3 linked regions of the Lonchura striata genome follow. The protein of the gene in region 2 interacts with the protein of the main gene of each other region in a pairwise test. Links are inferred from orthologs where the notes say so. Each region holds a gene or a part of one and is shown on either strand. Other genes may lie near its edges.

What was found.
Region 1: the proteins of LRP2 (region 2) and MAPK8IP2 interact in a two-hybrid assay, tested with the Homo sapiens proteins (2 studies listed by BioGRID). The link is inferred for Lonchura striata from reciprocal best matches to the Homo sapiens genes LRP2 and MAPK8IP2.
Region 3: the proteins of LRP2 (region 2) and MAPK8IP1 interact in a two-hybrid assay, tested with the Homo sapiens proteins (2 studies listed by BioGRID). The link is inferred for Lonchura striata from reciprocal best matches to the Homo sapiens genes LRP2 and MAPK8IP1.

Annotation. Positions count from the first base shown.
Region 1 is NC_134607.1:72,594,127-72,601,759, forward strand, and holds the start of MAPK8IP2 (C-Jun-amino-terminal kinase-interacting protein 2), read right to left. Parts: upstream 3,002-7,633; 5' UTR 2,923-3,001; coding exon 2,858-2,922; intron 1-2,857. UniProt on the Homo sapiens protein: The JNK-interacting protein (JIP) group of scaffold proteins selectively mediates JNK signaling by aggregating specific components of the MAPK cascade to form a functional JNK signaling module.
Region 2 is NC_134610.1:19,577,091-19,584,967, forward strand, and holds the start of LRP2 (low-density lipoprotein receptor-related protein 2), read right to left. Parts: upstream 3,016-7,877; 5' UTR 2,843-3,015; coding exon 2,749-2,842; intron 1-2,748. UniProt on the Homo sapiens protein: Multiligand endocytic receptor. Acts together with CUBN to mediate endocytosis of high-density lipoproteins. Mediates receptor-mediated uptake of polybasic drugs such as aprotinin, aminoglycosides and polymyxin B.
Region 3 is NC_134608.1:38,226,170-38,234,005, reverse strand, and holds the start of MAPK8IP1 (C-Jun-amino-terminal kinase-interacting protein 1), read right to left. Parts: upstream 3,002-7,836; 5' UTR 2,970-3,001; coding exon 2,887-2,969; intron 1-2,886. UniProt on the Homo sapiens protein: The JNK-interacting protein (JIP) group of scaffold proteins selectively mediates JNK signaling by aggregating specific components of the MAPK cascade to form a functional JNK signaling module. Required for JNK activation in response to excitotoxic stress.

The DNA of each region.
Region 1 (7,633 bases), on a different chromosome or scaffold from region 2:
AGGGGCGGGCAGGGGCCGGGAGGGCCGGGCAGGGGCCAGCGGCGGTGCCAGCGCTGCCGGGGCCGAGGGAATTTCCTCATCCCTGCCAGCTCCGGTGGCTCGGAGCGCCGGGAGGGGACCCCAGAACGGCCAGGAAGGGACCCCCAGAACGGCTGGGAGGGGACCCCAGAGTGGCCGGGAGGGGACCCCCAGAGCGGCCAGGAAGGGACCCCCAGAACGGCCAGGAAGGGACCCCCAGAGCGGCCGGGAAGGGATCCCCAGAACGGATGGGAAGGGACCCCCAGAACGGCCGGGAAGGGACCCCCAGAACGGATAGTAAGGGACCCCCAGAACAGCCTGGAAGGGACCCCCAGAGAGGCCGGGAAGGGACCCCCAGAGGCCGGGAAGGGATCCCCAGAACGGCTGGGAAGGGACCCCCAGAACAGCCTGGAAGGGACCCCCAGAACGGCCGGGAAGGGATCCCCAGAACGGCTGGGAAGGGACCCCAAGAACGGCCGGGAAGGGACCCCCAGAACAGCCTGGAAGGGACCCCCAGAGCGGCCGGGAAGGGACCCCCAGAGTGGCCGGGAAGGGACCCCCAGAGCAGCCGGGAAGGGACCCCCAGAACGGCCAGGAAGGGACCCCCAGAACGGCCAGGAAGGGATCCCCAGAACGGCCTGGAAGGGATCCCCAGAACGGCCAGGAAGGGATCCCCAGAACGGCCAGGAAGGGACCCCCAGAACGGCCAGGAAGGGATCCCCAGAACGGCCAGGAAGGGATCCCCAGAACGGCCGGGAAGGGACCCCCAGAACAGCCGGGAAGGGACCCCCAGAGCGGCCGGGAAGGGACCCCCAGAACAGCCTGGAAGGGATCCCCAGAGAGGCCGGGAAGGGACCCCCAGAACGGCCGGGAAGAGACCCCCGCCCGCCCCGTGCCCAGCTGCTCCCGGAGCTGACTCTGACCCTGTGGTCACCCCAAATTGGGGACCGGGGGCTCCTGCCTGGCACCTGGGGCTGGAGCCATCCCAAGGCCCGGCTGCGGGTGCGCCTGGAATTCCCACCTCGAACATTCCCACCTCGAACATTCCCAGATCGAGGGGACATTCCTAGATCGAACAGTCCCAGATCGAGGGGACATTCCCAGATCGAATATTCCCAGATCGAGGGGACATTCCCAGATCGAGGGGGCATTCCCAGATCGAACATCCCCAGATCGAGGGGACATTCCCAGATCGAGGGGACATTCCCAGATCGGAGGGGCATTCCCAATCGAACATTCCCAGATCGAGGGGACATTCCCAGATCGGAGGGGCATTCCCACCCGTTCCGGCCTCCCTCTCCCGGCCAGGGGGTCCCACCCCAGCGGCCGCCCCATCCGGGCTGGGCACCCCCTCCCCGCGGCTCCCTGGGAAAGGCAGAGCCGGGTTCGGGGCCTCCGCCACCATTCCCGGCTGGATCTCGGCACCACCGGGGAGCCCCGAGCGCGGCCACGGCTGCCCCAGGGATGGGCCCCGGCTTTTGGGATGGCTCCGGACGCAGCTCCCGCTGCCCGGGCTGGGCCCGGCTGCCCCACGGCCCGGCCCGGGGCCGAGCAGCCCCAGCGAGGCCGTGGTGTCCCCTCCCTGCGCCACCGCGGGCAGGGACACCCCGGGGACAGCGACATCCCGGGGACAGCGACATCCCGGGGACGGGGATGCTCAGGGTAGGGGGACATCCCGGGGACAGCGACATCCCGGGGACAGCGACATCCCGGGGACGGGGATGCTCAGGGTAGGGGGACATCCCGGAGATGGAGATGCTCAGAGGAGGGGACATCCGAGATGCTCAGAGGAGGGGACATCCCGGGGACAGCGACATCCCGGGGAAAGCGACATCCTGGGGAGGGGGATGCTCAGGGTAGGGGGACATCCCGGGGACAGCGACATCCCGGGGACGGGGATGCTCAGGGAGGGGGGACATCCCGGAGATGGAGATGCTCAGAGGAGGGGACATCCGAGATGCTCAGAGGAGGGGACATCCTGGCGACGGGGACAGCCCAGAGGAGGGGAGCCCTGGCCAGCACAGGCCACAGCCACCCAAGGGCACGTCCCGCAGCCTCGCCGTCCCCCGCTCCTCTCTCCGCAGCTCCCGCAGCCCCGGGGCCCTCCGGGCGCCCCTCGCCGCCGCCTCCCGCCCTTCCCATTGCCCTGCCGGCCGTGCGGGCCCCGCAGTGCGCCAGCCCGGCCCGCGGCCCGCACCGCGACCCGCACCCCGACCCCGCACCCCCGCACCCCCCCAAGGTCAGCCGCGGGGCGGGCCCAGCCCCGTCCCCTCCCCGCGGGACCCCCGGCGGCCCTGCGGGAAGGTGACCGATCCCGGGGCTCCGGCTGCGGGAACCCCCCGGCATCCCCCCGGCCGCGCCGAGCCTCGAGGGGTGCTGAGCCGCCGCCGCCCCCCACCCACTCCCGGGACCGGCGCCCCCCCCCCAATTCCCGTCCCCATCCCGGGGCCGCTGCGGCGCCTCGGGAGAGACAAAGAGGCGGCGGCGGCTCCTCCCGCAGCGGCCCCGGGATGCGGCGGCCCCGGGGGCAGGCGGAGGCCGGGGGGGCTCCCCGCCGCGGCGAGGGGAAGGGGACGGAGGGGACCCCGCGCCCCCCGCCCGCTCCGGGGGCCGGATGGCGGCGGCTGCGCCGTTAATCCCGGGAAGGGCCGCGGCGGGGCGGGGGACGGCGGGAGCCCGCCCGGTCCCGCATCCCAAGGTGAACGAAGGGGCGGGGGGGGGTACCGGGGTGCGGGCCCGGTGCAAGGGCGGGACAGCGGGAGGGGAAGGGCAGCGCGACCCCGCATCGCAGCCCGCGCATCGCAGCCCGCGCATCCCACCCCGCGCATCCCCCGCTCACCGGCAGCCGGGCGGGGAGAGCGAGTGGAAGGTGGAGAGCGAGAACATCTCGGCGCGATCCGCCATTTTCTCCGGCCGGGGCTGCGCCGGACTGCGGAGCTGCGGGAGCGGGGGGGAGCGGCGGGAGGAGCTGCGGGAGCGGCGGGGAGAGGGGCGGGGGCAGCCGCGGGATGGGGGCACGGGGGAGACGGAGGAGGAGCTGCGGGAGCCGCGGGGAGAGGGAGGAGGAGCTGCGGGAAACGAGCGGGGAGAGGGAGGAGGAGCTGCGGGAAACGAGCGGGGAGAGGGAGGAGGAGCTGCGGGAAAAACGGGGAGAGGGGCGGGAGGAGCTGCGGGAAAAACGGGGAGAGGGAGGAGCCGGGAGGGGCGGGGGCGGCGGGAGGGAGGGAGGGAGAGGGAGGGGAGGGGGGGATGGGATGGGGTGGGATCGATGGGATGGGATTGGGGTGGGATCGATGGGATGGGATTGGGGTGGGATGGGATGAGGGGCGGTCCTGGGGGGATCTGGGGGTGTGGGATGGGATTGGGGGGGTATGGGAATGGGGAGGGGTCCTGGGAAGGGAAGGGAAGGGAAGGGAAGGGAAGGGAAGGGAAGGGAAGGGAAGGGAAGGGAAGGGAAGGGAAGGGAAGGGAAGGGAAGGGAAGGGAAGGGAAGGGAAGGGAAGGGAAGGGAAGGGAAGGGAAGGGAAGGGAAGGGAAGGGTTCTGTAGGGGGGCAGGGCAGTCTATAGGGTGCTGGGGGTCTGTAGGGTGCTCAGGGCTCTGTAAGGGGGTCTTTAGGGGTTCAGGGCAGTCTATAGGGTGCTGGGGCTCTGCAGGGTGCTCAGGGCAGTCCATAGGGTGCTGGGGCTCTGCAGGGTGCTCGGGGCAGTCCATAGGGTGCTCGGGGCAGTCCATAGGGTGCTGGGGCTCTGCACGGTGCTCAGGGCAGTCCATAGGGTGCTGGGGCTCTGCAGGGTGCTCGGGGCAGTCCATAGGGTGCTGGGGCTCTGCACGGTGCTCGGGGCAGTCCATAGGGTGCTGGGGCTCGGCAGGGTGCTCAGGGCAGTCCATAGGGTGCTGGGGCTCGGCAGGGTGCTCGGGGCAGTCCATAGGGTGCTCGGGGCAGTCCATAGGGTGCTGGGGCTCGGCAGGGTGCTCGGGGCAGTCCATAGGGTGCTGGGGCTCGGCACGGTGCTCGGGGCAGTCCATAGGGTGCTGGGGCTCGGCACGGTGCTCAGGGCAGTCCATAGGGTGCTCAGGGCAGTCCATAGGGTGCTGGGGCTCTGCAGGGTGCTCGGGGCAGTCCATAGGGTGCTGGGGCAGTCCATAGGGTGCTGGGGCAGTCCATAGGGTGCTGGGGCAGTCCATAGGGTGCTGGGGCAGTCCATAGGGTGCTGGGGCAGTCCATAGGGTGCTGGGGCTCGGCACGGTGCTCGCGGCTCTGCGGGGCCGCGGGCGGACCGGGACCGGAGCTGTCCGCGGTGCTGCGCACCGGGCGCCGGCACCGGGCAGCGGCCGCCGCTGAGGCCGCGGGGACGTGCGGGGGGACCCCAGGGACGGCCCCGGTTTGGGGGGCGGGCAGAGGGACCCCCGCACTGCCACCCGTGAACGTGGGGTGCCTCCGTGTCCCCCAGTTCCCTCCGTGTCCTTCAGTGTCCCCCAATCCCCTCAGTGTCCCCAGTTCCCTCCGTGTCCCCCCTGTGTCACCCAATCCCCACAGTGTCCCCAATCCCCTCAGTGTCCCCAGTTCCCTCCGTGTCCCCCTGTGTCCCCCAATTCCCTCCGTGTCCCCCAATTCCCTCAGTGTCCCTCCATGTGCCCCAATTCCCTGTTTCCCCAACTCCTTCCGTGTCCCCCTGTGTCCCCCAATTCCCTCCGTGTCCCCCTGTGTCCCCCAATTCTCTCAGTATCCCCCAATTCCCTCCGTGTCCCAAATTCCCTCCGTGTCCCCGTGTCCCCCAATTCCCTCAGTGTCCCTCCATGTCCCCCAATTCCCTCACTGTCCCCTCTGTGTCCCCCAATTCCCTGTGTCCCAAATTCCCTCAGTGTCCCCCTGTGTCCCCCAATTCCCTCAGTGTTCCCAATTCCCTCCCAATCCCCTCAGTGTCCCCTGTGTCCCCCAATTCCCTCAGTGTCCCCAATCCCCTCAGTGTCCCCGTGTTCCCAGTTCCCTCCGTGTCCCCCAATCCCCTCAGTGTCCCCTGTGTCCCCCAATTCCCTCAGTGTCCCCAATCCCCTCAGTGTCCCCATGTCCCCAGTTCCCTCCGTGTCCCCCAATTCCCTCAGTGTCCCCAATTCCTTCCGTGTCCCCCTGTGTCCCCCAATTCTCTCAGTATCCCCCAATTCCCTCAGTGTCCCCAATTCCTTCCGTGTCCCCCTGTGTCCCCAATCCCCTCCGTGTCCCCCAATTCCCTCAGTGTCCCCAATTCCCTCAGTGTCCCCCCTGTGTCCCCAAATCCCCTCAGTGTCCCCAATTCCCTCCCAATCCCCTCCGTGTCCCCTGTGTCCCCCAATCCCCTCAGTGTCCCCCAATCCCCTCCGTGTCCCCTGTGTCCCCCAATCCCCTCAGTGTCCCCTGTGTCCCCAATCCCCTCCGTGTCCCCCAGTCCCCTCCGTGTCCCATTCCCAGCTTCCACCCCAACATTCCCGCTCCCATCTCCGTTCCTTTGGGGTTTTGGGACGCGGCCCTGCCCCGGCGGGGATTTGGGGTTCCAGGAGCTTCCCCCCGGGGTGGTTGAGCCACATTCCATGGGGAAAACATTCCCCAAAAACCCAGCAGGATCCTCCCAAGCCCGGGATTCCCAAACTGCCAGCGGGAACAGCGGCTGTAAGGGACTGCAAAGGATTCCCAAGGATGGGAATCCCAAACTGGGCCCGATGCTCCTTTGGGATCCCACTCGGGAAGCTCCGGGATTCCTCTGGCCCCTTTTCCATGGAAAATGATCCCAAATCTCCCCACTGATCCAGGCTGAGGCCGCTCCCTCTTCTCCCAGGGCTCATTCCCTGGATAACCAGGATGTGCTGGGAATTCTCATGGGGGTGTGAGCACTGAATTCCCAGATTATTGAGGCTGGAAAAAATTCCAAGGGCACCGAGTCCCAGCTGGGCCCGATCCCAGCCCTGAGTGGAATTCCGGGAATTCCTCGGGCACCTCCAGGGATGGGCATTCCAAAGCTCCCTGGGCAGCCCCTGCCAGGGCCTGGCCCCTTTTCCATGGAAAATGATCCCAAATCTCCAATCCCAGCCTGCCCTGGCCGGGCTGAGGCCGCTCCCTCTTTTCCCGGGGCTCATTCCCTGGAGCAGATCCCGATCCCCGCTGGCTCCTGGCAGGAGCTGGGCAGAGCCAGGAGGACATTCCCGATCCTGCCCCGATGCCGGCAGAGCCGCCCCGATCCCGGGGCAGATCCCACTTTTCCCTGGAGCAGATCCCACTTTTCCCAGGGCGGATCCCACTTTTCCCGGGGCAGATCCCACTTTTCCTGGGGCAGATCCCACTTTTCCCGGGGAGGATCCCACTTTTCCCAGGGCAGATCCCACTTTTCCCGGGGCAGATCCCACTTTTCCCGGGGCAGATCCCACTTTTCCCGGGGCGGATCCCACTTTTCCCGGGGCAGATCCCACTTTTCCCGGGGCAGATCCCACTTTTCCCGGGGCAGATCCCACTTTTCCTGGGGCAGATCCCACTTTTCCCAGGGCAGATCCCACTTTTCCCGGGGCAGATCCCACTTTTCCCGGGCTCTCCCTGCACGGATCCCGGCAGCCCCTGCCCAGCCCGGGGGGGCTCGGGGCCCTTCCCGAGGCACCGCCGGCATTCCATGGGCAAGGATCCCACAATTCCCCAATCCTGGTGGGGAATGGACCTCCCAGCCCATCCCGAGGATCCCCGGGATCCAGGAGATCCCACGGGCACAGCCCAGGAAGTTTTCCAAGCGTTTCCATTCCCAGGATCCGTGAATTCCACCCTGGGCCGATCCCAAACCTTCAGCTCCCGGAACGGATCCCGAGGATCCACCCGGACCCGGCGAAGCTCCGACAAACGGGAGAAATTCCTGCTGGGACAATCCAGCCTGAGGGAAATCCATCCCTTCGATCCTTATCCCAAGTTTTCCCCCATCCCTCTCACTTCCAGCCGAGTCCTTCCCACGGAGCCGCGGGCTCTCCTCATTCCCAAATCCCCAAATCCCCAAATCCCCAAATCCCGGCCCCTCTCCCCATCCAACCTTGGCTCCCAGAGCCAAGATTCCAGCAGAAATTGAGGGAATTTCCCTTTGGAAGAGGAAAAGTCAAAGCTGGGAAATCCCAGATCCACCAGCGCCCGGCACGGCCCGGGGAAAATCTGGGAAGCGAAGGGAAACCCTCGGGAATGAGGGACAGGGAAATCTGGGAAGCGAAGGGAATCCCTCGGGAATGAGGGACAGGGAAATCTGGGAAGCGAAGGGAAACCCTCGGGAATGAGGGACAGGGAAATCTGGGAAGCGAAGGGAAATCCTTCGGGAATGAGGGACAGGGAAATCTGGGAAGCGAAGGGAAACCCTCGGGAATGAGGGACAGGGAAATCTGGGAAGCGAAGGAAAATCCCTCGGGAATGAGGGACAGGGAAATCTGGGAAGCGAAGGGAAACCCTCGGGAATGAGGGACAGGGAAATCTGGGAAGCGAAGGAAAATCCCTCGGGAATGAGGGACAGGGAAATCTGGGAAGCGAAGGGAAACCCTCGGGAATGAGGGACAGGGAAATCTGGGAAGCGAAGGGAAACCCTCGGGAATGAGGGACAGGGAAATCTGGGAAGCGAAGGGAA
Region 2 (7,877 bases):
CACTGTACATCATCCTACAGAAAAATTAAATAATTTTGAATGAAAACAATATCTAAAAAACACTGAATTATTGATTTGGAGATTGAACTATTACAATGCCTTATGGAAAACATGTTTCTCCATGACTTCCAGAAAGAACTGCTGTAACTCTTCTCTACTTGGTCTTACCATACCTATTTCTTAATGGCCTGCCACACTTCATGCAAATGTTCATTGTGATTATATATCTTATCACACCATATGCATTCATTCTTAGAATAGTCTTCATTCTCAGATTAATAGAGACCTCATAATGGTAAAAAAATTTTAGCCATATTTGCCTGGGACGTATCAAGCTGATAATTTATCATTGCAGAGGTGCAGGATACAAATCAAATTTGGTGCACTAACATCCATCCATTGTCTGTAGTTTATGGCTGAGTGTGAAGCACTTTGATATTCCCCAAAACAAACATAAGCAATAGTCCCACAATGCTCCTGCTTGACACTGCCTTCACTTAACTACTTTTTAGGTTCCAGCTACACTTTTTTCTGACAACAATTACCCCACAGACAACAAGACCTATAAAGGCAGGAGAAACAGACCCTGTACTGCTGGCAATTACAAAACTTTTTTATTCTGTTTATGAGCACTACAGTTACTCTCAGTAGAACCAGAATTAGGTAAATCGCAAAAGAGTACTACCAATTGAACAAGGTGAATTGTGTAGGTGAAATTCTTCTAGAAACATCCATCTTATATTGGGAACACTCAAAAATTGCCAAAAAAAAAAATCTCAAAAAACATCAGTGAAGTGCCTTTGGAAATACTGAGGATAAGGCAAAATAAGAGATTTTCACCATTTTCCTTCAAAGGCTTGGGATTGCTTTCATGGTTCTTCAAATTTTCTTTTTGAAATAAGAGTCTGACATGATCTTAGCATTCAAGGAACTGTAATTTATGGTTAACAAATATTCCACTGCCATAATCAAAGTGCAGGCAAAATACCTGCTATCCAGGTATTTTCCTAGTATCAGTCACCCATTACTAAAATTATAGTGTTTGATTTCCACAGTTATTCTACTGTGGAGGCAGGGGGGAGGGGAGATTGGGAGAAAGAGCAGAAGGAACATCATAAAAGTAAAAAAAAAAAAAATCTGTATGGATACTACTATGGATGCTAGTTCAAAGCCTATCTCTGCTTGTTCTGTCATGTCTTTTATCAGATATGTTCTGGACAATCAGAAGCAGTTACAGAACAACAACAAAAAAATTTTATCTGTACTGCAAGTTCCATTCTACCCAATGTAAAATAATAGTGCATAGGATTAATTCTGCCCAGTGTGACCTCCTTGGCTGGAGTTTTTGCAGGTCTCCAGCACATTAGCTATCTCTTATTTCCTTGTTCATAAGTGGGAGCTGCTAACAGCAGTTGCTGTATAATTACTTAGTTGATTCTGTCTAAGGAGCTTAAACTAAGAGTTGAGCAAAGAAAGCAGATTAACCATTTGAACACACACGTAATATGCAGACACACACAGAAGCAGCAGAACTGCAGGTCAATAGGCGGGGCGGAGGAAAAATGCACTTTAGCCACTCGTGCTCCAACACGACAGGCTTGATTTTCAGTGCAAGGCAAATAAACAGCTGAAGAAGGGGAGGCAGGGATATCGGCTGCAGAGGCCGGAGGGAGGACTTGGGCACACGGCTGCTCCATCCCCAGCAGCCAGATTAGCACTGGAGGAGCGGCACTCAGCCTGCTCTGCCAGTCACATGCTCCTCCATGTCGCCTAGCAACAGTAAAGCCCAGAGAAAAAGTTCTCCCTCTCTCAACTTCAAATCTGCGTCTGAGACCGACTGAGGGGAGCTTATTGTGCTCCAGACTAAGCATCTGTTTCTTTCTTATAGCTTTCTGTAAATGACTGCATATACCACACGTACGCAAGCATGTCCATGCATAACCCCCTGCCCCCCGACCCAACCTGTCTACGTGCAAGTGCTGTGCACTCCTCAACAAAAACAACTCTAGGTACAATTTTAGTGGTTACCAAACCAGCTCGTGGAATGCAGGTGAACTCTGCTCTGTAAAATCACCCGTATTTCAGTAGCAAGAAAGGCACAAATACCACAAGGAAAAAACGCAAAAAGTCTGGGGTGGTTGGGGTTTTTTTGTTTTGTTTTTGGGGTTTTTTGGTGTTTTTTTTTTTGTTTTTTATTTGTTTGGTTTTTTGTGGGGGTGGTTTGGTTTTTGGGGTGTTTTTGTTTGCTTGTTTTTGGGGTTTTTTTGGCCTTATTCACAGCCAGTAATCAGGACTCGCAGAAAAACCTGCCTGTTGGCATTTCCATAAAACCATGCGTTTAGACCGTGGAATTGCAAAGTCTGAGATGTCCATCAAAAATTAGCCACATTTGTCTGTTGCTTACACACACAACTAGGGAAAAAAAAAGTTTCTACAAACTAGAAAAACAATCAAAGGAAGCATCCTACGATAATCTGAAATCAAGATGAAGTTAAGCTGAAGAATCGGTGATGTTTGCAGTGCTTTTAAGGCGCTACTTACTTTTCCACAACAGAAACCGACTCCATCAAATGACTCCTGGAAAGAGCCAACTGTCTCCCCTAACTATTAGAAAGAACTCCTTGAATCAGTGCCTGTTAACCCTCTACTTTCAGTCACCTTATCTTTCTCTTATAAAAGTCCCCAGAGTAGGGATATGCTCCTTACGGTGCAATTTCTATTCCGGAGAGGCTGGAGCATAGCACTTACCTTGGCAACTGCCCTGCATCAGGCATGCAGTGAATAATATGAGCAGTTTGCAAGCAGTTGTTGCTCTTCCATCCATCCGATGGTGAGGTCCCATCTGGGTTGGGATGCTCCAGCTTTCTCAGAAGCTGGCTTCTGGACTCCGGGGTGCTGATCTGCACAGCACCAGCACAAGGAGCCTGGTATCTTTTTCTTGTCCTGCTAGTTGCAGAAGAAAGGCGTGTTCGCCTGTTGAGACATCGCGTTTTCTATAAACTCCCACCCTCCAGACATTGCATAAAGCTCTTTATACCCGGCGGCCCCGGAACCAGCATGAGGGAATCAGGCAGTGCTCCAGGCCCTGCGGCCACAGGCTCCCTCTGCCCCTCCTTCCACACTTTGCAGGATAGCCAAGATGCTTCCAAGACCCTGCACTTTGCTCACTTCGTATCAGAGTCCATTGGTGCTGTATTTAATGTGCTCATCTATTTTGAGTAGTTCTGGGAACTGCGGGTGGCAAGTAATGAATGTCATAGGTTTTAGTGTCCCAAATAAGAAAAAGTATTTTTGATAACTCTGAAAAAAAATCTAGCATCTACTCACTGATGCAGACAGAGGAAAAGCTTAGAAATTAGTAGTGCTCACAACAAACACTATGAAAGGAAAACTGTGGGGATGAAATTTACTTTTGCACTTTCTTAGCAGATAAAATCAGTTTGGTAAAGTGCTTTAGCTGTGAATTCTCAAGATACCAACTAGAGATATGCTCCTTTAGTTTTAACTCTCCAACAGTGTGTGCAATACACAAAGAAATATCTCCCTGTGTTTTACTGCTGCCATTTCAGGAACCATATACACTAACAAGGGAAGAGTAGTGTGTAGGATCACAGGGAGAAGATAAAGATTAACTTCAGGCTGGAATGCAGCCTTGGTAAAAAGAACAAACTTTTTAGAGGCTTTGCTTGCAGGATCAGAAGCATCATATATAAAATGCGTGGAGTTAAATAATTTTTTAGTAGTCAAAAACAGTCTTTCATGTTGGAAATTTAGTTATGCCAAGCTATACTTTCTTCATATATGTACACATATGCACATGCACGTCAACAGTGACTACTGTGCATACATATCATGAGAGAAGGATAGCTCTATTTGTCTTCCAAGAGGTTCTGTCAGATTAATTTTAATGACACCACCTTTACAGATACCACATATCTTTTGCATTAGCATCATGCCATGCTCATTATACTGCAAGGGCTGTTTGCTGATGCTGCAAAAGAACTTAAGCAATATTTCAAACCTTAATTCTTCTTTTTGCCATGGATTGCAAGTTCAATAAAAAGGTAGAGGTGCCTGTATTGTTCCTGCAGAAGTTGCACAGGAACATGTCGCTGCTTATTAGCAGACTGTGATTTCTCTCCAGGTCCTGTAGGACGCTAATCCCTCTAAACCTTTCCGTAAAGGCTTTCTATCTATCAAGATAGTAAAGAGGGGGGTGGGGAGAGAAGATGTGGAGCATAGGCTTTTGCAAGGTTGTGATTTATGCAGGTTCAGGGCTGTTTGGTGTGGTGGTACGACACAGCACCGGGGTCAAGCCACAAGAAACACTGGGGGCAGATCAGAATATTCAATTAGCTTCCTGGCACCTCTGAATCACAAAGAGAGGATAAGATCTCTCCATCACAAGATCCAGAGCTGCCGGGGGAGGGGGAGACATGCCCTCTTCAAATCTCCCTCCTCCCTCCCACCCTCTCTCCTTTCTCTGTAGGGGAATAGCGCCTGAAACATTCCTTTCTGCACGGAAGGTCTTTTCCTATTGTTGTTTTCTTTGTGTTTCAGTGTTGCCAACTTACTGGAATTCTTGTCGTGGTTTCACAGCAAGGCTCAGGCTGACCAAACGGAACCAGCTGCGTTTGTGTATGGGGCCGCTGCTACTTTAATCTCCCAGCAAGGCCGATGGGGCGGGAACGAAGGGATCCTCAGAGAGAGGAGCAAGCAGATCTGTTCTCTACAGATGGGTGCCTGCAAAGCCAACACAGACTGACCGTACTTCATTAGAAGAGGAATTGTTTAAAGCAGTTCACATCCCAGCAAGAGGCAGAGAGGGTAAACAGTGCTTGGGAGCTGCATCCCCAGGCCAGGAGGTATGTGTAATCTAATGTCACTGTACGCTTGAAGTGACCTGGATGCAAGCTTTGGGAGGCACCTACCTGTTTCACTCCCTCACAGCTGGCAGCCAGAAGGTGTGTTCCTGCCCCATTCACCATCACCATTTCTACACATCTGTTTTTCCCATAGGTGAGAGCCTAGAAGGAGTCTCCAACAGGAATGGTGGCGATGATGTTGACAGTGAGCTGAGATGGTGGGTCATGCCCTTCTCACCCATTATTCTTTGCACTCACAAGACAAAGTTTTCATTTAGAGACATATAAACTGATAGGCCCAGATATTTTACTGCTGAACAATAGTAACAATGGAACCAGCACAGGAGAAGTCTAACCTCTATTTACTTAAACTAAAATTTTCTCCTCTCACTTTACCATGGCACCTCATCATCCAACTAAAGGGACCCTGTCTTGCTGGACACCATTGAATGGAACTTCTTCAAGACTAGATACATCAAGACAAGAATAAAAACTCCTCAAGGCTTTCCCATAACTACACCCAAAATTGCCCACGTAGGTGCAACACATCTCTTTTTCTCATCTTTCTGTTGACTGTTCCTGTTGGCAGCTCATGATTTGTTACTGAACTACACCTACGGATTTTCAGTTGATTATGCATGTTCAAGAAGATGGAGACTAGGTCTGTTCGAAGGTTAGAAGGAGAAAACATAGGCAATGCAGTTGTTCATTGGGCTCTACTTTTGATTTAAAATACAGTTTGGGATGTTTTTGCTTGCCTGGTTTTTAGTGTAAGCAAGCACTCAGAAAAGCAGTTAAAGGTGTAATTTAGAACTAACAACGACACTGCTTACTTATTAAAGATATCTGCTAAGCAAGGAAGTTAAAAATTAAAAGGCTTCATTTTTGACCAAAGTTCAGTCTAAATTAGTGTCCAAACTCGTGCAGTTCTTCACAGACAGAAACATCAGGGTTGATATATGACTAGATAAAGATAGAGAGCTGATGGTTAAGGAAAGTAAAAAACATATATACTTTCACTATAGGAAAATGTGGATCAGATCTGTAAATTTGTCTCTTCTGAACTTCTTGGAGCTAGGGCAGTTTACAGAGGCTAAGGATCTGTCCAGTGCATTATCCAATAAGGCTGTAATTGCCATTGGCATTCAGTAATCTTGTGGTCAATCTGTCCTCAGATAAACCCAGGTGCTTCCACACAGAAAACATTTTAAGTTACAAGCTATGTTTCCAATTCACATTTAAAGTTTAATCATTAAATCCTATGCCTTTATCATTACAAGGTTTTTTTTTGTTTTGTTTTGTTATTTTTGCGCAATCATGCTAAAGCAAGGCTACATTTTAAATATACTAAAGCCATGCTCATTTTTTTGGGAGAACACTGGTAATGACAAATCCTACAAATCTAAACTAAAGACAGTCTCTCTGCCTGGGCAATAACATAAGTACCAAACAGCAGCAATTAACTCTTCAAATTTCATCCACCTTTGCTATTCTACAATCTAAAGTGTCCAGTTTCTTTAACTGAACCTTAGTTTTATAGCAAGCAACAATGTGTGTGTGTTTGAGTGTGTTAGAGTCTTGCTTTCTTAACAGACTATTAAAGGCAGGATGGGCTCTTCAGAGATACTATTTTTGAGACATTTCATTCACCTAAGGCCCTCTTCAGTTTGCATCAAAGACAGACTTCAGGGAAAGCAGATTAAGCTGTTTTCATGGGGATCCACAGTAGCAATGTGTATTTGCACTTCACCATTTATTTTTTTCAAATACATGTGTTGTGAGCAGATGTTTCCTTAAATCATGTTTTAGGGAACATGCATCTTATGCAAAGAACCAGTATTAATTTCAACTTTACAACACACAAAAAAACCCAAACAGACAATGGCCCCAAGTTCACCAAGTTTCTCATATAAGCCACATCACATTTCACAGTATCTAAAACAATGGAAATTGTTTGCCAGGAAAGTATTTTCTTCCAAGGATTTAAAGACAAAAAAAAAAAAAAAAATCCACCTAATCTCAAACTAAGAAAAAGAGAGCCTTAGTTGATATAATACCCAAACATCTAATGCATATTGGTAACTAAAGCACAGATTTCCAGAAGACTAGATCAAAAGTGCATCTCCAGACCACATGAAAGTGAGAAACATTAAGCTGAGGAGAGGTGAATTGGTCCAGAACAGAAATCAGAGTCAGAATTGCACAATGCAGCTAGCACTGTGGTCAAAAGTTTCCTCGAGGTCTTCTGGTTAGTGACATATTATAACTTCTCTCTTTCAACCTGGCATTATATTACTGCATCCTGGAACAAGAAGCAAGAACATGGGAACTTTTTTGGTAACTGCCACTGAACAAGTGAGACTAGTAGAAACACAGTCAGTAAAGGAGCTTCTGAAACACCCCAGGTATATTTCATCTGCAGAAATAGGCCTGTGTTGGAGTTTAACAGTAACCATGTAGAGATGACAGAGGTTTTTTTATTCACCTGGAAGGCAGAAGAAAGTGGAGAAAGATTAAACAGATTACAGTTGTCCTTTGGTCAGAACTGTCTGGTCCACCCTGGAAGTCCCTGTTCCCCATCCTGGAGACACGGTCACAAAGTAAGGGCAAGTATGCTTTACCTCAGCTACATCTCTAACTACCAAAGATCATGGTACTTACCTTACTACAAATAGATTTCTTTGGAACTTTCTGTTTCTAAAGAACAAAGGTCCTTATTTTTGCTCCAATTCACTGGCCCTTCAGTGCCATTCTGCCCTGCAAGGAAGCAACAAATGGGATTTGTACTTGAAAAGGAATGGGAGGTAAAGAAGCATTTACAAATTACTTATCTAAAATCTTTATAGGGAATTCACAAGGAAAAGAGGATAGGCTGGAATAACTCTGAATCTCCTTTACTCTTTTAATTGTTTTACTTTCCTATTAATAACAGGTGTGAGGTCTGTTCAGGATAAACATCTTTGTAATTGAGACTCATACTAAAAACAGTTAGGTCTCATTCCTCCAACAGCT
Region 3 (7,836 bases), on a different chromosome or scaffold from region 2:
TCTCTCCCTCCTTCAGAGGAAGACAACCCTTCCATCTCCCCTCAGAAGAAGACAGGGAGCCCCATTCCAACGCCCAGCTCATTCATTGCCTCCAAACAGGCTTTGCTGACAGCTCCAGATGAGCACGACAGACACATAAAACAAACCACAGAACTAAACTGATTTTTGCCTCAGCCCGAAGGTGCATCTTTGAACTTCCCGACAAGACGGAGAGAACTTCTTCTCTCAGAGAGCCCCTCCCTTCCCAAAGGGCTGTGATTTCTGACAGCACTCCCTGAGTAGTAGAGTAGTTTCCCTCTCTCCTGACCTATGGAAATAACTCCCCAAGGGTTTCTTCCCCTAGGTGTCCTCCTACCCAGTAGCTAGGTGGATGCCCTTTACTTTTATCAGGGAAAGCTGAAGGAGATAAGAGGGGATCAGTCAGTGACCCCTCCCAGGTTCCATCTACATTAAAGCCACAGTCCTGGGGACAGTGGGACAGGCAACACTGTGAGCTCTGCATCCAGCTTCACCCCAGTTGTGCCAGTCCTCCCTGTCCCTCTAATGCTGGGTAGAGGGACCCCTAACCCAGAGAGGCTCCAGAAAGCCCCTCACAGGAAAGCCTGCCACAAAGCACAGCCAAAGCTTCTTAGCAGGGCAAGGAGCTGCAACACCGTTTCCCAGAGAAAGATGTTACGGAGCTCCAGTGAACACAGACCACACTGCAAGGCTTTGAGAAGCTTAAGGGAGGATGGATGAGAATGATTTTTGTAATTGCTGTCTCCTAAAATGGTGTTATTCTCATTGTGATGAACAGATACCTCTGGAGGACCTCCTGGCTAAAGGAGGGATTATCTCACCATCCTTTTCCTCCCACTTCTTCTCAGACAACACAAAACCATCACTGCCAGGCCACTATGCCTGGTCTCTTCAATGCTTCAGTCTGCTTGCTGGCCAGGACCAAGCCCTCTCTCAATTCAAGCCAACTGATCACCTAATGCTTGGACTGGCATGTCACCACTCAGAGCTGGGAGTGCAGATGCATGTACCAAAGGGCAGAAATCTGAAACACCTCATCCTGCAGGCAGCAGGCAGGGGCAGAGGGCAGTGCTCACCTCACTGCCAGCCATGGTCTGAGCCTTCACTCTGAACCGCATTCATCGCTGCTGGGTCCAGCTCATCCGCGGGGAACAGCCCCTCGCTGAGCCCTGCAGCAGGGATGCAGGACCTGGGACATGCACAAGCCATGCTGTGACACATAACCCAGCTTCTGAAACACAAGCACGGCTCCCTTCTCGCACGACACTCCCCACCACAACATCACCTCTGATCTGCCATACCCTGCCCCAGGCTCAGACACATCACTGCATTTACTTCCACTTACACCCTGAGCTTGGTGCCCGGGGAAGATTTTGCACTCCTGCCTTGACTCCTCAGTTTTCCACCCAGCTGCACAGCATCCTTCACGAGGTCAGTTCTTCCCTGGAGCAGGCTGGCAGCACACGGGGCTCCTTTTCCAAAGATCTGAGGCCCAGCCAGAAGCAGCAGCTCATTCTCCCTCCGAGGGCATGGCTGTTTGCTGGGGAGCAGGAGGATGCCGAGGGCACAGCCGCTACCTCCAGGACAGCAGGCGGCAGGCCCAGAGCTGCTCGGCAGCTCAGCCTCCAGCCCCTGGCTCAGTGGCCAAGCCCCTTCTCCATGGTGGATGATTCCAGAGGCAGTGTTTAATCGCTGGCTTTGCAGGGTACACCAGCCATGTTGCAACAGCTCCCAGCAGCTCTCGCAGGCAGCGCTGCAATAGGAGGCAGCTGCCAAAGACCCGGAGCCACCAGCAACGGGGGTCCAGAAGCACAGCCCTTCAAATATTAATTGCCTGAGCACTACCTTTGCTCGACTGCACCCATCTGTTTCCTCTCAGGGACCCATGGGTTCCCCAGCCTCAGGGGCTGGGCCTGACAGAGGAGGGCATGATCTTAGCTGTGGTCCCAGGTGAGGACCATCCTCTCCTTTCCACCCAAAATCTCAGCACGCAAGGCAGCTGGTACCATTCCCCTTTTTTCAGGCAGCTCCCCCCAGCACCCCTGTGTGGCAGAGGCAAGCAGAGAGCAATGGCTGACGAGGGCACAGCTGCCAGGAGCAGCGAGCCTCCCCTTATGGCAAGTGAACACCGCACCTGCAGGCAGGGGCAGGGCTCCTCCCTTACCTACCCAGCACATCCGTGTGCCAGAGCTACCCTTAGCAGGCACCAGAGGCTCCAAAACCCACAGGCATCTCTGGCCTGGCCCACGCCATCGGAAGTCCCTGTGACAAGCCTCATTGGGTTTCAGAGGAGACACAGCCCCCTGCATCCCAAATCGATGGGAGCACTTGGTATTGCTAAGAGGATCAATTCTGGCACTCTCCCACCGTCTCACTTGGGGTTCCTGTTTCACAGGGGTAGCAAGGAAGCAGAAGCACCTGGGATTTCTAGGAAAGGGCTGGGAAAAGGCTTTTCTTGGGGAGGGGAGAGAGATGAAGCTTTTTTCTTCCATGAGGAAGAGGTGCTGGAAGAGGAGATGAGACAGGTAAGGAGGCGGGATGGGGTGCGAGGGGACACGAGGGCAAGCAGGGGGCTGGGAAGCTGCAGTGGTGTATGTGTGGGGTGAGGGCCAACATGGCTTGGGTGGGCGGGCTGAGCAGCCATGGGGGGCTGGAGCGATGTCTGCGGTGGGGTTCAGCGGTGGCTGGGGCGGGGGGCAGAAGGGATGGCCGGGCCGGGGGGCTGCGCGCCGAGGGGGCAGAAGCGCTGGAGGAGGCGGGGGCCGGCGCGACCGTGCGGGCGGGGGCTGCAGCAGATGGGGAGCGCTGCCCCGGGCAGGGGGCAGGGGCAGCCCCGAGAGGGTTCCGCGGGGGGACGGCGGCCGGTACCTGAAATTGGGGGGCGAGGCGAGGTGCAGCCCCAGGAAGGGTGAGGCGGGCGGGGATGCAGCTCCTTTCTCTCGCTCCGCCATTCTGTGGCTCTCTCCATGCAGGCGGAGGGCGGGCGGGAGGGAGGGAGGCAGGGAAGGAGGGATGAAGGGAGGGGGATGCTGGCGGTGCCGGCGGGGAGGGACATACCTGCCGCCGGGCGGGGGGAGCGGGGGCGCGGCCCGGAGGCTCCATCCCGCGGCTCCCGGCGGCAGCTGCAGGACAGGCACGGCACAGATGGAGGCGTCACCTCGCACCCCGACCCCGTCCGCTCCGCCCGGGCCACGGCGAACGCCGGCCCCGGCGGGACAGATGTGCCCGCAGCTGGAGGCTGCACCCTCAAGAGCAGGTGCGAGGGACGGCCGGGGGTCTCCCAAGGCTGGGAGGAGCAACCCCAGGAGCGGGGCCGGCTGGCCGAGTGGGCAGGCAGGAGCCCAGGGCGAGGGGCTGGACACAGGGGCCACTTGCAGGGGTCTCTTCGGCAGCGGGGAGGCGCCTGCAGGCAGCAGGAGCAGCAGGAGCAACCACGCTGCACTTTGGCACCCATGGCATATTTGCCGCACCTGGCAACAGGTCTGGCAGCCCCCGTATAGACCTATCCCTGCAGCAGGGCTGCAAGCACTGCAAAGGGAATTTAAAAAGCAGCATACACATACCTTCCACAGGGACAAAGCAGGGGGGGAAAAATGAATCTTAAGGATTCAGGCCTCTCCTAGAAAGGGCAAACCCATTTTTGTATCTAGCTATGTTCCAAGAAGCATTTTATCTTGGGTGGGTACTCATTGTTGCTACTCTTCCTTACCAGCCTGGGCAGGTTTCTCTTCCCTGCTCTTCTCCCCATGCTTTGCAAGCTCAGAAAACTGTGCTGTGGACAGAAGTGGACAGCATCAGTATTTTTAGATCTCAAGGCTACTTCTGTACCTGAACAGGAGAACTTTCCTTATTCCCTGCATGCCCACTGTGCTGCCAATCTGTGTCTCTGAGAGTCCTGGATGGCATGAGTGGCACTTCTTTAGCAGTTCAAACATCCAGTCCCATCAGTGTTTCTCACACCACAGAGCTGACTGCCATTGAGGTGATGTATTAGTTCTTGGCCAAGACCCAGGATGTCAGCTGCTCCTCCAGAGAAAAGCAGGCAGAGCCCTCCAAGGCATAAGTCCTGCTCTCTCTCAGGAGTCTTAGTCTCCTACCAGACAAACTGGAAAGAGATGTTATTCCTGGACTAGTGTGGAGACAAGCACACACCCCCGGGGTCACCATGTGCAGGTAACCCTGGGGCAGCCTCCTGAGGGCGATCTAAGTGTCCCCTTTGCTGTTTGGATACACAGACTGAACTGTATTACATGCAGGACCCAAGAGACTCACCAGCATTCGTTCCAGGAGCTTTGGGGGAGCTTTGATGTAGCTCCATCTCAAAGCATAAACCCCATCTACCAGAACTGATCTCAGCAGCATGGCTGTTATTTGGCCTCTGACCTGGGGCATAAGGTAAGGATGCTGCCTTGTCCCACAGCCAGATCACCATCACTGCAGCTCACCTTCTGCTTGATTGCCAAGCACCAAAAACTCACCCCTTAGTGACGTGACCTGTAGTCAGGTCACCATCCCTGACTCAGGCTGGCCTGGCAGGAGACCCAAATGGACCTTCCTACCTGCACTACTGTCAGTCAGGCCTATTCCTCGGATGCACAGTCGTGCACACGGCCCCTGGGAGAGTGCATGCACATCTGCTGCAAATTAGGAGATAGCACTTCCATCCCAGCAGTATCTGCCCACAAGGCATTTGCTGATTTTCCTCCTTCAAATTGTCCAATTGACCATCAGGTTCAGTCCAGACCAACTCAGCCTTAAAGGAAACCTGAGGAGAGGTTATGTGCTCAGAGAAGTTTTCCTGCTCCTCGTCCCCAGCTGAACCATCTGATCTCCACCCAGATGCAGCTGTGATACCAGACTCCTCTTTTTCCATCAGCCATCCTTCTTACTGTTCTTTCCCCCTCTGCCTCAAATGGCCACATTTCCAGCTCCACTTCTTCATATCTAGGTGTGTTTTCTATTATCAGACCTTTCAGCCAGCCCCACTTGAAGCCACTCCAGCTCCTTCCTTGTGCAGACAGAAGAGACATGGAAGAAGGGAATTTTCTCAAGCACCAGCACATGGAGCAGGCAGTTCTGCTAAAAATCCAAGGTTAGCCATTTCCAATCCTGAGCCACATCACCATCATTCCTGTGACAGGTAAAACAGGTATCATGGCCAGCACAGACGAGGAGCCTCAAACCCAATCTCTTCAGCTTTAATTTACATTATTCCACTCTGGCTAGAAAAAGCTGGACTGAGTTTACTGTCATTCTGGTTCATCATCTTTTAAGGCATATGCTGATGTTTTCAGAAGGTTTTTGCCATGTGTGAGCCACCCCAAGCACTGAAGTTTTATTTTTCCAAGACCAGAAGATCCTTGCCAGAAACAAGAGAACAATTTAGCAATACCATGAGCTGAGGCACTTCCTTCCTAGATAAGCCCCACTGCTGAACCTTCACAAGGAACTGCATGGCTACATGCACTTCCTAAGTCTTGCTGGTTACTAAGAAAATTAATGTACGTCATGGAACTCTTGCTAAGGTAGAGGTTCCAGCAAGTGCATCGACACAGAAGCACCAAGGAGGATGGCAGGATGCACAAGAACTTGACTCTGTCCTTGCTAATTAGATTGCTAAGTCTAGTGTATTTAATACAAGTTCATTACTTAGCTTAGAAGTCATTAGCCAAGGCTCCATCACTGACGGGAGACCCAAGCTGAACAACTGTTCACAGCTCCGTGGGACTTCTCTGCTCCAGTATCCATGTTTAGTTGAAAGCAGCCTTCACACCACCGTGGGGAGCATCCCAAAGCCACTGCTCTCAGAGCATCAAAAGGCAACTGCTCCCTCTGCCCAAGCAAAGAGCTCACACTACACCCGTGTTAGGGGTGCCTATGTCAGGTCAGGCATTGCCAGCTTGCCCTGAGACACAGAGAACAGAAACCCCTAAACTGGTGTCCATTTCATGCTATTTCTTTACAACAGCCTCCAGCAGTCCCCTGCTGCTTCTGAAACAAAGATGGTCTAATGGTTACTGATGGCTTTTTCTTTCCCCACAAACTGGCCAAATCTTTTTGAACTCAAACTGTTAGCACCCACAACTGAGGAAAAATGTGTCACAAAGCTAAGCAAGGCACAGACTTGTTCAATCTGCCATCTTGTACTTTAACCAAGCATGCCAAATTCTAAGTATCAATGAAAACAATGAACAGTCATTCCCTGCTTGTCACACAGTTTTACCCACCTGTATTATTTCAGCTGGGAAAAGATGCCAAAGTAGATGAATCCCAGCCTATTTACAAGGTTTCTTGAAAGAAGCTTTTCCGTTATCTTTAACTGGTCTGATGCGTGTCATTCCCAGTGCTACTACCTGAGCTGCAGCTCTTCCATATACTACCATCCATATCCCAGGTATTGACAGAAACCTTGCAAATGTGATCTCCCTTGCCTCCACAAAGCCTTCTAGATCACTGAGGAGATGTGGCCTCCCCTCCCTTTGACTCTTTACCCCCACAGATCCAGCCCCAAAAATTCCATTTACCAAATGAAATAATTTGGATGACAGCAAAAAGAGGGTTAAAGACATTTATAAAAAGTTTTATTTACAGACCATTGCCTAAGCATGAAACTCTCAAAATGACAGAAGTCACAATTTCTGTAACCTAGACAAAGTGCACATCTTTCCCCTTTCTTCTTTCTGCAGCAGAAGATGGGGGTAGGGGAGTATCTCTTTTTCTTTATACCCTTCTACCCCCAAGACAATGGGAGTAACAGCTGGGTTAGAGACAAGACCTGTTGATAACTGGGTTATCCACCAGGCAAACTACAAATAGTTTAGAATAAAGTAAGGTTAAGAAAAGTGACTCTTTGTTTACTTGTTCAGTCTGCCCAGTGGATTCTCTGCAGAAAAAGAACGTAAGATCAAAGCCCCAGGGAATGGGAAGGAAAGGTTCTTCAGCTATTCATTAAATTTATTCACAGACTCAATTCAACCACTTCAGGTTTCTCAGGTACATTTGACTCAGTTTCTACTTGCAACCCTGTTGCTCTGGGTTCAAACACAGGCTCCAAAACTGAATCTGATTATCCCAGTGGGAGACAACTCCTGTACTCCCCAAGCAGTTAGTTGCATAAGCTCACATATAGCCCCACACTATCTGTGTCAGGCAGGGATGAAAGGTTTTGGACAGCAAATGAAAACAGTGCCAACAGCAGCCCATTGCACGGGATGAGCTACTCAATCTGATTCCTCTTGTAAACAGCCTCAAGAGAGAATCTCCTGCAGTACCACCCTCCCTTGCACTCTCTGGTGGCAGGCAGAGGCACTCTGCCAGCACTGTGCTGACCTGACAAGTAACAGGACCCAGCAAGGAGTGTATGGTTAAGAGCCAGGAAAGCTACACAATCACCTCGCTAGGCTACAAAGCACCAGTGTGAATGCAAACGGCAAGGAGGAGCAGTGGGCAGGTACAGGAGTTTACCGTGTGGAAATTCAACACACAGATGCCAATACAGAAAAGAATGAACAGAATGGACACTAGACTCTGAATTCAAGGAAGACTCACTTCAAGGAGCTGATGTGTAATACATCCTCTATCAGTATGAGGCACTGCACAGGCTACACACCAGACACAGGCTCCATTTGGGAGCTCTCATTCAGGGAAGGAAATGCTGTAGAGTGCTGGGCCCAGGTGTAGCTTCCTTATTACTTGGATCACATCTATTCTGAGATACTGCTTTGCTCATATCAAGGCATGATCTTATTCTCTGAACAATTCCTCCTTCTCAGAGTGACAGAATCAACTAGGTTGAAAAATACTATTGAGATCATTCAG